Linked DNA regions of Canis lupus familiaris. The protein of the gene in region 1 purifies or fractionates together with the protein of each later gene. This does not show direct contact. Links are inferred from orthologs where the notes say so. Each region holds a gene or a part of one and is shown on either strand. Other genes may lie near its edges.

Region 1 (5,459 bases):
TCTGGAAAGGAAGATGGTAGGGATAGAGGTGTGGGTTCTTTGGTTTGGTTCTGGGATTATCATGGCAGGGATTAAAAGCAGAAGGATATCTGGCCCCAAGGATAGGTGCAAAGGCTGGGAGATTGGGAGTCAAAGAGACACATGAGGGACACTCTTGCCGCAGCCCTACCAGCTTTAGGATTCCTCCTGGAACATGAGGAGTAGGGACACTGGCTGAGTCCCCAGGCCCTCTAGGACCCTAGGAGTTGAGCCTGTCTCTAGAATTCAGCCCTCAACCCCCATCCTCACTCCCAGCACCCCACTGCCCCTCATCCCTTCCCCACTTACCCTGGCTCTGCTGAGCTGCCCCCAATGAAGCCATAGCGATCAGCCTGGCGATATGGGCCAGGCCCACTCAGCTCTGAGTCGGACCCCAAAGAGCTTGAGTCATCCTGCAGCTCGAAAGGTTGTACCAGGTCCTCCCCCAGGGCCTGGGCCATGGTGCCCCAGACCCAAGCTACCACAGGCTGCAAGATGTGGGGAAAGCCAGTGTGAGAGGCAGCTTCTGACCAGCCTGGGGCCTGAGCTCCCATCCAGCCGGTCCCCAGCCCGGGGACCTGGCTGCAGGGTTCAGAGGGCACAGACTTCAGGGCATCTCACCAAGCCCCCTCTGTCCCCTCTTTTATCGGGGTGGGAGGGTGAGGGTGAGAGTGAGCCTTGAAATGGCAGAAAAGCCAGACCTCTGTGTAGAGGCTGGTCCCCAGGCCCAGCCCCTGCCCCCCCAGGCCAGCTTACCTCCCTGCTGCACCTCACCTCCTCCTCTCACTTCCTCCTTCTCAGCAGCTTCAGCCACCGGCTGGGGGGCCCCTCCCACACTCCCCTCCCAAGTGTGTGGGGGGGTCACCTCTTCCTCTCTGAGGCTCTTCCGGCCTGCCCCAGTGCCCCCAGGACCGTGGGCTCCTCCCACCCTCCCCATGGGCTGGGTGGCTGCAGGCTTGGGCTCCAGAGCAGGGTGTGACCAGTCCAGGACCCACCCGAGTTACAGAGGCCAGGCCCCTCCAGTTTTGAGGTTAAAACAATTCAAGATTCCAGTGAGAATTCTCGTTTATTTAATATTTGCTCTTTACAAGTAATGCTTTGAATATATACCTAACGCAGCGTTATTATGCACTCAGCAGGCAATAACGGAACTTACAAAAATTAGTTCAGCGTGCAGCACAGCGTGGACCAAGATGGGTTCAGAGCGCCGCGGCAGGTGCCTGGGTCTGGCCAGCTGCCTTGAGGGCCGCAGAGACTCAGGAGGTGGAGGCCCCCCGTGAATGTGAGGCCAGGGTTTTGGACCAACCCACCCCCCTGCTATCTCTTGAGTCTCCGTTTCCTTTTCTGCACTTCGAGGACTTGATCCGCAGTGTCTGGAGCATCGGTTATTAATGTGCTCATACCACGCTCCCGCCCAGGGGGTGGGTTAGCGTCTGACAGAGACAAACAACTCCCACAGCACTTCCGGCCCCATATTCTCGGAACTGGACTCGGGTAACTCCTCGGGGGCGGGACCAGACTCGACCCCGCCCTCCGAGCTCCACCCACCGGCCGGGCTCCGTCCCGACGGCCGAGCTCAGCCCGAGCCCCGCCCCGTCCCCTATGCCCCGCCCCCCGGGCCGCCGCGGCCGCTGCGCGCGGTGTCCGGCGGGAGCGCTAGAGCGCGGGGGCAGCGCGCAGGGCGGGGCGGCGGGCCGGGGAGGCGGGGCGGCAGGCCGGGGCGGGCCGGGGCGGGCGGAAGGAGCGCCAGGCCGGAAGGAGGCAGCGGGCGGGAGGGAGGGCGGCAGGAGCGGGCCCGGAGCTGCTGGGGCGGAGCGGCGGCGCCGCCATGTCCGACAGTGAGAAGCTCAACCTGGACTCCATCATCGGGCGCCTGCTGGAAGGTTGGCCGGGGCCGGGGAGGTCGGTGCCCGCCGCGCCCTGGCCCGGAAGTGGTGCGCGGGCGGGCCTGCCCCTCCCCGGGCCAGCTTAGACTGGGCGGGGACGGGCCGCAAGGTCCCGTGGCCACAGCCGCCCCCCGAGTCGCGGCGCGCCGGGGGAGGGGGGTTCCGGGGACGCTCTGGCACGGGGAGCAGCCCCCCTCCTGGGCGGGGGGCGCACGGGTTGGCCTGCGCTATTGGGAGTGAGGGAGAAACCTAAGAAGCCTAGCTCCACCCCTCCCAGGGGTCCTGCGCTATGGGTGGGGTGTTGGGTGGCAGGCCCCCGCGCACAGCACACCCCCTCGAGGGGGTCCCATCCTGGGAGGCCAGAGGCGGAGGTCCTGGGAGGCTCACCAGCAACAGCTGCCCCTAGGCAGGGAGGGGCCTAGGAGGCCCAGGCGCCCTCAGATGTGCCCATAGGGCCACTTGTGTCGCCCACCTTCCTCCTGCCTGAGGGACCAGAGTCTTGACACCCCATTCCTCCCACAGTGCAGGGCTCGCGGCCTGGAAAGAATGTACAGCTAACAGAGAACGAGATCCGTGGTCTGTGCCTCAAATCACGGGAGATTTTCCTGAGCCAGCCCATTCTTTTGGAGCTGGAGGCACCCCTCAAGATCTGCGGTGAGTCTGCTGCCCAGATCCCTTTGGCTTTCTGAAAGTGGAATCCCCACTTCACCCCGCCCAGTCCTTGCATTGCTGCTCCCTGGAGCCCGAACTTGGCCCTGGGTTCAAGTGTAGCCCCTGCACCTAGCGCTGAACCGGTTCCCTGGGTTACAGGTGACATCCATGGCCAGTACTACGACCTTCTGCGGCTCTTCGAGTATGGTGGCTTCCCTCCAGAGAGCAACTACCTCTTCCTGGGGGACTACGTGGACCGGGGCAAGCAGTCTTTGGAAACCATCTGCTTGCTGCTGGCCTATAAGATCAAGTACCCCGAAAACTTCTTCCTGCTCCGTGGGAACCATGAGTGTGCTAGCATCAACCGCATCTATGGCTTCTACGATGAGTGTGAGTAGCCCAAGTCCTTAAGTGACTTCCCTTTTCGGGGAGACCCTCACATAGGCCTGGCAGTAGGGGAATTGGTGTCTGACCACTACCCACAGACCGCGAGCTCTGCGAAGGGTGCACACCAGTTGGTGCCTCTCTGCCTGCCCTCCTGCCGTGGGGCCGGCACGCAGGAGGGGTCTGGGGAGTGACTGCTGAGGACTGCCCATGTTCTAATGCAGGGCCCTGCCTCATGACACTCCCCTCCAGGACATCCATTAGGCACTTGGGATGCCTATTTGGACTGGATCCTACCAACCAGAAGCTGAGATAAACCAGGCCTAGTCTTGGCCTGGCCCTGCTCACTGGGTGCGGGTGGGTTGTTTCGGATTGGAACTCAGGTTCCTCTGGACCTAGCTGCTTTAGAATTCCTGGAAGGCTGGTAGGCAGCGGAGTCGGGGGAGGGGGGATTCTCTTCTTGTCTGCCATTCTCTTCTCCCAGCTGTGTCTGGAGGGCCTCAAGACCCAGGCTGGCTGTGGGGCAGATAGGCCTCATGAGGCATCTCCTTCCTCCCAGCAGGCAAGAGACGCTACAATATTAAACTGTGGAAGACCTTTACTGACTGCTTCAACTGCCTGCCCATTGCTGCCATCGTGGATGAGAAGATCTTCTGCTGCCATGGAGGTGAGAGTGGCTCTAGGGTACATGTTGAAGGGTTCTTTGGGAAGGAAGAGCCCTGGGCCACATCCCGGGGAGCCCTGGGATGAGGCTGTTAGCTGGAGGATGTCTTCCCCGTCACCTGGAAGACCTCTCCCAGTGGTCTTGGTTTGCATGTCACTCTTTGTTTTGAGGCTTAAGCAAGTAACCTGCCCTCCCCCAGGCCTGTCCCCAGACCTGCAGTCCATGGAGCAGATTCGGCGTATCATGCGGCCTACAGACGTGCCGGACCAGGGCCTGCTGTGCGACCTGCTGTGGTCTGACCCTGACAAGGACGTGCAGGGCTGGGGCGAGAATGACCGTGGTGTCTCCTTTACCTTTGGGGCTGAGGTAGTGGCCAAATTCCTGCACAAGCACGACTTGGACCTCATCTGCCGGGCACACCAGGTGGGCTGGCAGCTCTGGGGCGGGTGGGAGTGGGGCCTGGGTAGCCAGCACCTGCTGAACAAACTGCCCCCATCCTCATCCAGGTGGTAGAAGATGGCTATGAATTCTTTGCCAAGCGGCAGCTGGTGACTCTCTTCTCGGCTCCCAACTACTGTGGCGAGTTTGACAATGCAGGCGCCATGATGAGTGTGGATGAGACACTCATGTGCTCCTTCCAGGTTGGGATGGGGGAAGGAGGGGGGCTGGTGACCCTGTGGCTTAGCCCATGAGTTTGACCAGCTCTTGTCTTTTTTAGATACTCAAGCCCGCTGACAAGAACAAGGGGAAATACGGGCAATTCAGTGGCTTGAACCCTGGAGGCCGGCCCATCACCCCACCCCGCAACTCCGCCAAAGCCAAGAAATAGCCTCCGCGTGCCCGCACTCTGCCCCAGATGGTGGATTTGTACAGAAATTACGTGGCCATAGGGGGTTCACGCTGGCCCCCCAGGCCCACCTGTCACGGGGAACACGGAGCCTTGGTGTATTTTTTTTTTTTTTTAATGAATCAATAGCAGCGTCCAATCCCCCAGGGCCCCTTCCGCCTGCTATAGTGGTGGCAAGCAGGATCCTGGGGCTGAGGCTGCAGCTCAGGGCAAAGCAGGGCCAGATGTGGGTTTCCAGCCTTGCTTGGCCTCAGGGCTGGCCGACAGATCCTGGGGCAACCCATCTGGTCTCTTGAATAAAGGTCAAAGCTGGATTCTCGCCATGGCCTCTGTCTCCCTTGTCCCAAATACTGGGCCTGGCAGCCCTTCTGTCCAGGGCTGCTTGGGAGGATAGGCATGCTGGGCATGGGGCCCCAGCTAGGGCAATCCCAGCCATAGGCTCAGGTCCATGGGGGCTTAGAATTCCAAGCTGGGGCCAGAGAGTATAGAGAAAACAGTTTGGTGACCACAAAGGATTCCAGAGGTGTGTTTAGGATTTAAGGGACAGACAAGTCATGATTGGCAAAGAAGGTAAATCAGCAGGGGCTCATAGCCCCTCTGTGATTTCTGTCCTGGGGAGGTAGGCTTAGGGAAGGCAGGTGTCCAGCCCTAGCCACATAGTTGGGAGTCTGGCCTAAAGGCCTATGGGAGGGGAATAACAGGGGGCCTCCCATCAGGTGGCAGCTCGGTGCAAAGCCTGGGAACAGACATGATTGGTTGGGAGTTAGAGAAGACAGGACCCAGGCTAGTCAGAGCCAGGAAGGACCTGGGGTGGCATCAAGACCAGTGCTCTACTCCAACACAGCCCACCTTTACCAACCACCAGGGTGATTAGCCCCATCCCTGGGCTGCTGCTGGGGGAAGGAGGAGGCTGTGGTTTCATCTAATCAGAGCCTCTGGACACAGGCTTGTTCTCAGTTCAGCCTTCACCCTCACTATCTTCAGCCAGCACAGGGCTGGGGCCCGGAGG
Region 2 (5,502 bases), on another chromosome or scaffold:
CTGTCATTCCACCCTTCTGTATGAGCACAGACACAATTCCTGCTGAAGATACTTTGCAAAGGCATCATGAAAGAATATTTGTCAAAATAGGTAATATTGCTAAGTGTATCCTGGCTTCCGGCCTCTTAAAGTCAGTGCTTTGGGGCTCATTCTTGCCCCACGTGGGACTCATTTAACAATCAAATGGGGAAGCACTTTATTGTCTGTACTTCTCTCCATATATTTCCCCAAAGAATGCAACCACATTTCCCTCTCCTATTTTTTTAATTATTTTTTAAATATCTTATTCATTTATTCATGAGAAACACACAGAGAGGCCAAGATACAGGCAGAGGGAGAAGCAGGCCTCATGCATGGAGCCGGACGTGGGACTGGATCCCAGGTCTCCAGGATCAGACCCTGGGCTGAAGGCGGAGCCAAACCGCTGAGCCACCTGGGCTGCCCTTCCCACTCCTATTTTGACAGCATCGGCATATGCTATCTCTATATTCCCTGCCATCAAAAGCTGCTTTGGGGAAACAATCTGATGAATTAGGTATAAATGACTAATAAGGCTTAAATGTTACCTTTCCCAGGATTACAGCTTTGTTCTAGGGAAATAAACTACTCAAAGGGATTAAACTCCAGCAGCAAAATTTTAGGTGAGCTGGAGGAGGGGTTTTGGTTAGAGAAAGTTTTCCAGCCTAAGTGGTAATCAGCTGATGGGTCCCCAAGGAGGAGTTTAAATAGGGGGAGATGGTGTGTGTGGGGGGGATAAGGCCAGGGTCAGTACAGGTCCTAACCTAGGGACTGGTCTGGTCCTATTATTTAGGTTTGGGAATCTATGATGCCACATTTAAAGGGGTCTTGAAGAATCCCTGGGTGGCTCAGCGGTTTAGCGCCTGCCCTCAGCCTGGGGTGTGATCCTGGAGACCAGTGATCGAGTCCCACATTGGGCTCCCTGCGTGGAGCCTGCTTCTCCCGCTGCCTCTCTCATTGTGTCTCTCATGAATAAATAAAATCTTAAATAAATAAAGGGGTCTTGAAGTAACCTGAGACCAGATACAACATTGGAATTCCAGATTGCAGCTGGTATGGGGAGACACTCCATCCTGGGGCTTCTTCACTAGGGTGACCCTTCCAGCTCAGGGCTATGCTACGGAGTTTGGTCAGACCGAAGCCAGTTTTTGCAAGGGGAGCAGGCAATCCTTTTTGTGAGATTAAAAATAGCAGTTAATGGGGATCCCTGGGTGGCGCAGTGGTTTAGCGCCTGCCTTTGGCCCAGGGCGCGATCCTGGAGACCCGGGATCGAATCCCACGTCGGGCTCCCGGTGCATGGAGCCTGCTTCTCCCTCTGCCTGTGTCTCTGCCTCTCTCTCTCTCTCTCTCTCTCTGTGACTATCATAAATAAATAAAAAAATTAAAAAAAAAAAAATCAAAAAAAAAAAAATAAAAATAGCAGTTAAACAATACACCAACCTTAAGATTTTAGGCAATGGCTAAGATTCATAGTCACGTGACTTAACTGGTTCGGTGTCAGTTACTATTACACCTGGCTGTCCTTTCGTTTCCAAGCAGCCGTAGTTCTACGCTCTCCCACCTCCAGTGCAGGACTGAGTCAGCCTGAGCGCCCTGGTGCTATTTGGGAACCTTCAACTTCTGCTCTTGCCCTAAAGAACTACCTGCGTTCATTCCAGCAGCTCTGCAAGTAGCGAAAATGCTGTGACACTAACCAGACGGTCTTGACCACCTCTGGAGTGATTCCAAGCGTTTTCACTCGCGTCCAGCTCACCCCGGTGAACAATCAATTCTTCGATGGACTTTATGAACTCCTTCCTTTGGATGCAAGCCAAACATTATCTATAGGGCATACGGTTCTTTACTCAAACTTGGCAATAAATGATTATCTCTGGAACACAGACGGAAGGACTGAAGCAAAGGCGTGGGGGACCCAGCGGCTCCTCGGCGCCCCGGCAGGGTTCCGCGCCGCGGAGGCTGGGGGCGGGGAACGGTTTGTTCCGCGTCTCTTACGCTCCTGCTCCCGAACAAGGCCGTCCTGTCTGTTAACGTATTTAAGGCAGTGACTGCAAAAAACTGTGCAATGTTATGGTCGCAGCGCTCTCTGCCATATGTGTTGGTGGAACGCTTAGGAGTCTCGCTCCGCAGTAAACGCAAACCGTGCCAGGCTGGAAGACCGCGGCCCGCGCGGCGAGGTGCAGGGCTGCGGCGCCGGGGCCGGGGGCCGGGGGCCGGGGGCCGGGGGGCCGGGGGGCCGGGGGGCCGGGGGCGCTCCCCGGAACAAAGGCACGATCCTGAGGCCGTTTCGCGGGCCGTCCCCCCTCCCCCCACCCCAGCGCCAGCTTTGTCTCCTCGCGCGTGCGAGGCTGAGACTCGGAGGAGCCCCCGAGCCGGAGGGGCCGGCGTGGGAAGCTGCCCCGGCCGCCGCTGCGGTTTCCTGCAGCGCGACGAGCCCTTAGAGGAAGTGGGAGGGCCGCGCGGGGCTACCTGCAGCCCGCCGAGCGGGGCTGGACCTGAACCCCGCGCCCCCGGGGCCGTCGTGCGCCGGGGCCCAGGCGGCTGGGAGGGCGGGGGGCTCGGCGCCCCGGCTGCGCGGAGGAGCTGGGGTCCCGGCCCAGCTGGGCCTCGCGCGCGCAGCCCCGCCGCCGGGCCCTCCCCGCGCCCCCCGCGCGCCCCCGCCCCGCCCCCGCCTCCGCCCCCGCCGCCCCCGCGCGCCGGCACTGGCTCGCGCAGGCCTCCTGCCCGGCCGTGGGCGGGGGGGCGAAGCCCGCGGGAGGCGCCCCGCCCCGCCCCGCCCCGCCCCTGCCCCGCCGCGCGCAGTCTCTCCCCCTGCCCGCCGGGGCGGTGGCGGTGGCGCTGCTGCTGCCGCGCGGCCTGCGAGGCCGGCACTCCCCTCCGCCCGGCTCCCTGCTCCTCCTTTCTCTCCCTCCCTCCCTCCCCCTCCCCGCCCCTCCCGCCCCTCGCAGGCTCGCCAGCCCGAGCGAAGGTGGCGCGGCGGCGCGGGACGCAGCCTCGGCCCCCGCCGCGGCCCCGCGAGCCCGAGAGGACCCCCGCGCCCCGCCCCCCCGCCCCCCGCGGCCCCCCGCGCCGCCCGGGGGCGCCCCCGCCGCGGCCGCCCGGAGGAAGCGCGAGCCGGGGAGCGAGGGGCCGGCGGCGGGAAGCCGGGAGAGGGAGGAGAGCGCGGCTCGAGGGCCCGCCCGCCGCGGCGCCGAGAGGGACGGACGGACGGACGGACGGCGGCCGGGGACGGGAGGGGCGGGGCGGGGAGGGGCGGGGGCCGCCCGCGAGCTCGCCCGGCCCCTCGGCGGCGGCCCCGGGGCGGCGGCGGGCGGAGGGCGCGGCGGGCGCTGTCGAGACAATAACCCGGAGCCGGAGGCCTAGCGCGGCCGGGACCCCGCGCCCCGCGCCCCCCGCGCCCCCCTGCACCCCCCGGCCCCCGGCCCCCGGCCCGGGCCCGCCGCCGCGGGGACGCACTTGCGCGCCGTGATTCCGGGCGGTGTCACGAGTGAAAAGTTTTTTTTTTGCTTTTTTTTTTTTTTTTTTCCTGCTCGGCGGAGATCCCGGTCGGGCTGGGACGGCCCTGCCCCGCGGCCCCGGAGCGCCGCCCCGCCCCCGCCGCCGCCGCCGGCCGCCGCCCGGGCCCGCCGCACATCCGCTCGGCCGCGGCCCGGGCGCCCCGGGAGGGAGCGGAGCATGGCGGGCGGAGCGGCGGGGGAGCGGCCCTGAGCGGCGCCCCGACAGGTAACTAGCTCCCGCCGCAGCGCCCGAGCCCGAGCCCGAGCCCGAGCCCGGAGCTCCCGGGTCCCCCCGCGCCCCCCGCGCCCCCCGCGCCCCCCGCGCCAGCCCCGAGCCAGCCCCGCGCCAGCCCCGCGCAGCCCCGAGCCGGGTCGGGCGGGAGGCGGCGCCGGCGGCGGAACGGCGGGACCCGGGGCCGGAGACTCGAGACCCCGAGACCCCGAGACCCCGAGACCCGGCGCGGCAGGTCCTCTGTGCCGCCCCGCTCCGCAACGCCGACTTCCCCAAAACCTATACGGTGTGTGCACTTCTGCATCAGGGAAGTTGCTGAACCCGGCAACTTCTGTTTTGGGGGGAAAAAGTTAGGTCCCTGCAGCGAGGGCTTTACCGTCGTTGAGATGGCTGCCGCAGTTGTGGGTCCTGCTACCGGCTATGGGACTTTTGCCTTAATTTTTGTCTATTTTATTTTATTTTATTTTATTTTATTTTATTTTATTTACTTTATTTTATTTTATTGATTTAATTTTACTTTATTTTATTTTTTTATTTAATTCAATTTTACTTTATTTTATCTTATTTATTTTTTATTTACTTTAATTTTACTTTATTACTTTATTTTACTTTAATTTATTACCTGTATTTTATTTTACTTTATTATTTTTTATTTTATTTTACTTTATTTTATTTTATTTTACTTATTTTATTACCTTTTATTTTACTTTATTACCTTTTTTATTTTACTTTATTATTTTTTATTTTATCTTTATTATTTTATTTTACTTTTATTTTACTTTATTACCTTTATTTTATTTTACTTTATTATTTATCTTTATTATTTTATTTTATTTTACTTTATTTCATTTTATTTTACTTTATTTTACTTCATTCTATTTTTCTAGTTGCAACCTTTAGAAACGTCTTTGGTTGGATTTTTATCCACAGACTTTGCCCTTCTGAGTCTTCCCTGTTGTGTTGTTTTTTGTAAATTTTAGGTGAGTGATCTGTTTCTCCAGTTAAGTGGCTCCTTTCAGACATTTACAACCCTAATGATACTTGTTTGGTCAATGAATCGAAAGCAAGTTTTCTGCTCAATGTTTCTTGTTAACTGACCTAGGAAGGAGAAGGAGAGAGTGAGCGTTAAGGTCGCCCAGCCTTGTAGTGAAAAAAGAAAAAACAAAAAACAAAAATACAGCCGTGAGTAGTTTGATCTGTTAAGACTTCTCTGCAGTTGAGAACAGAATGTATAGAGAGGGAAGTGAAATGCTTAAAGGGATCGTTGTGGGAGTCGTATTGATTATAACAAACATCTGTCCCTTTAGAATAGTACTTTCCTTACGTCTCTGTAGGTTTTAGGTTTTGGTCCTAAGGTTTTGGCTGGTTCTGTCTAATAAGCCACAGGGACCTCCTGTGGGGGCAGGAATTAGTGAAGCACGGGAGACAGCCCACCAGTCGGAGTTATAAACACTTCTGAGCCAATCGGTAGTCTTTGTAGAAAAAACTACTTTGCTCACAACAAACACAAATAGCTTTTTTAATCGGTATTTTAGTGTGTCTTAATTTTTTTTTTCTCTCAGTACTTTGGTAAAGTAGGTGAAACCTAATACTGTGCTTTTGAATAAATGTTAAAGAAGTGTGGCATCCTTTGGTAGGTATATCCTAACTATAAATTAATATTTACTTTGCTCGTGCTACCCTATGAAAAATAGTTGGCATTCTTTAGTTCAGAGAAAAGATAACTTTTGAAGAGCAGGATCAAATTATTTCACAGCT

The links.
Region 2: the proteins of PPP1CA (region 1) and ERBIN purify together in Homo sapiens (affinity purification with mass spectrometry; 3 studies listed by BioGRID and IntAct, counting the BioPlex papers as one, with this or other methods). This does not show direct contact. The link is inferred for Canis lupus familiaris from reciprocal best matches to the Homo sapiens genes PPP1CA and ERBIN.

The regions. Positions count from the first base shown.
Region 1 is NC_049239.1:50,564,855-50,570,313, forward strand, and holds PPP1CA (serine/threonine-protein phosphatase PP1-alpha catalytic subunit), read left to right. Parts: upstream 1-1,750; 5' UTR 1,751-1,846; coding exon 1,847-1,901; intron 1,902-2,426; coding exon 2,427-2,558; intron 2,559-2,714; coding exon 2,715-2,945; intron 2,946-3,501; coding exon 3,502-3,606; intron 3,607-3,802; coding exon 3,803-4,026; intron 4,027-4,109; coding exon 4,110-4,244; intron 4,245-4,321; coding exon 4,322-4,432; 3' UTR 4,433-4,565; downstream 4,566-5,459. Other genes in the region: TBC1D10C (carabin), read right to left, coding at 328-572; cell cycle checkpoint control protein RAD9A, read right to left, coding at 5,409-5,459. UniProt on the Homo sapiens protein: Protein phosphatase that associates with over 200 regulatory proteins to form highly specific holoenzymes which dephosphorylate hundreds of biological targets.
Region 2 is NC_049223.1:50,842,394-50,847,895, forward strand, and holds the start of ERBIN (erbin), read left to right. Parts: upstream 1-2,170; 5' UTR 2,171-2,192; intron 2,193-3,644; exon of another isoform or gene 3,645-3,738; intron 3,739-5,502. UniProt on the Homo sapiens protein: Acts as an adapter for the receptor ERBB2, in epithelia. By binding the unphosphorylated 'Tyr-1248' of receptor ERBB2, it may contribute to stabilize this unphosphorylated state.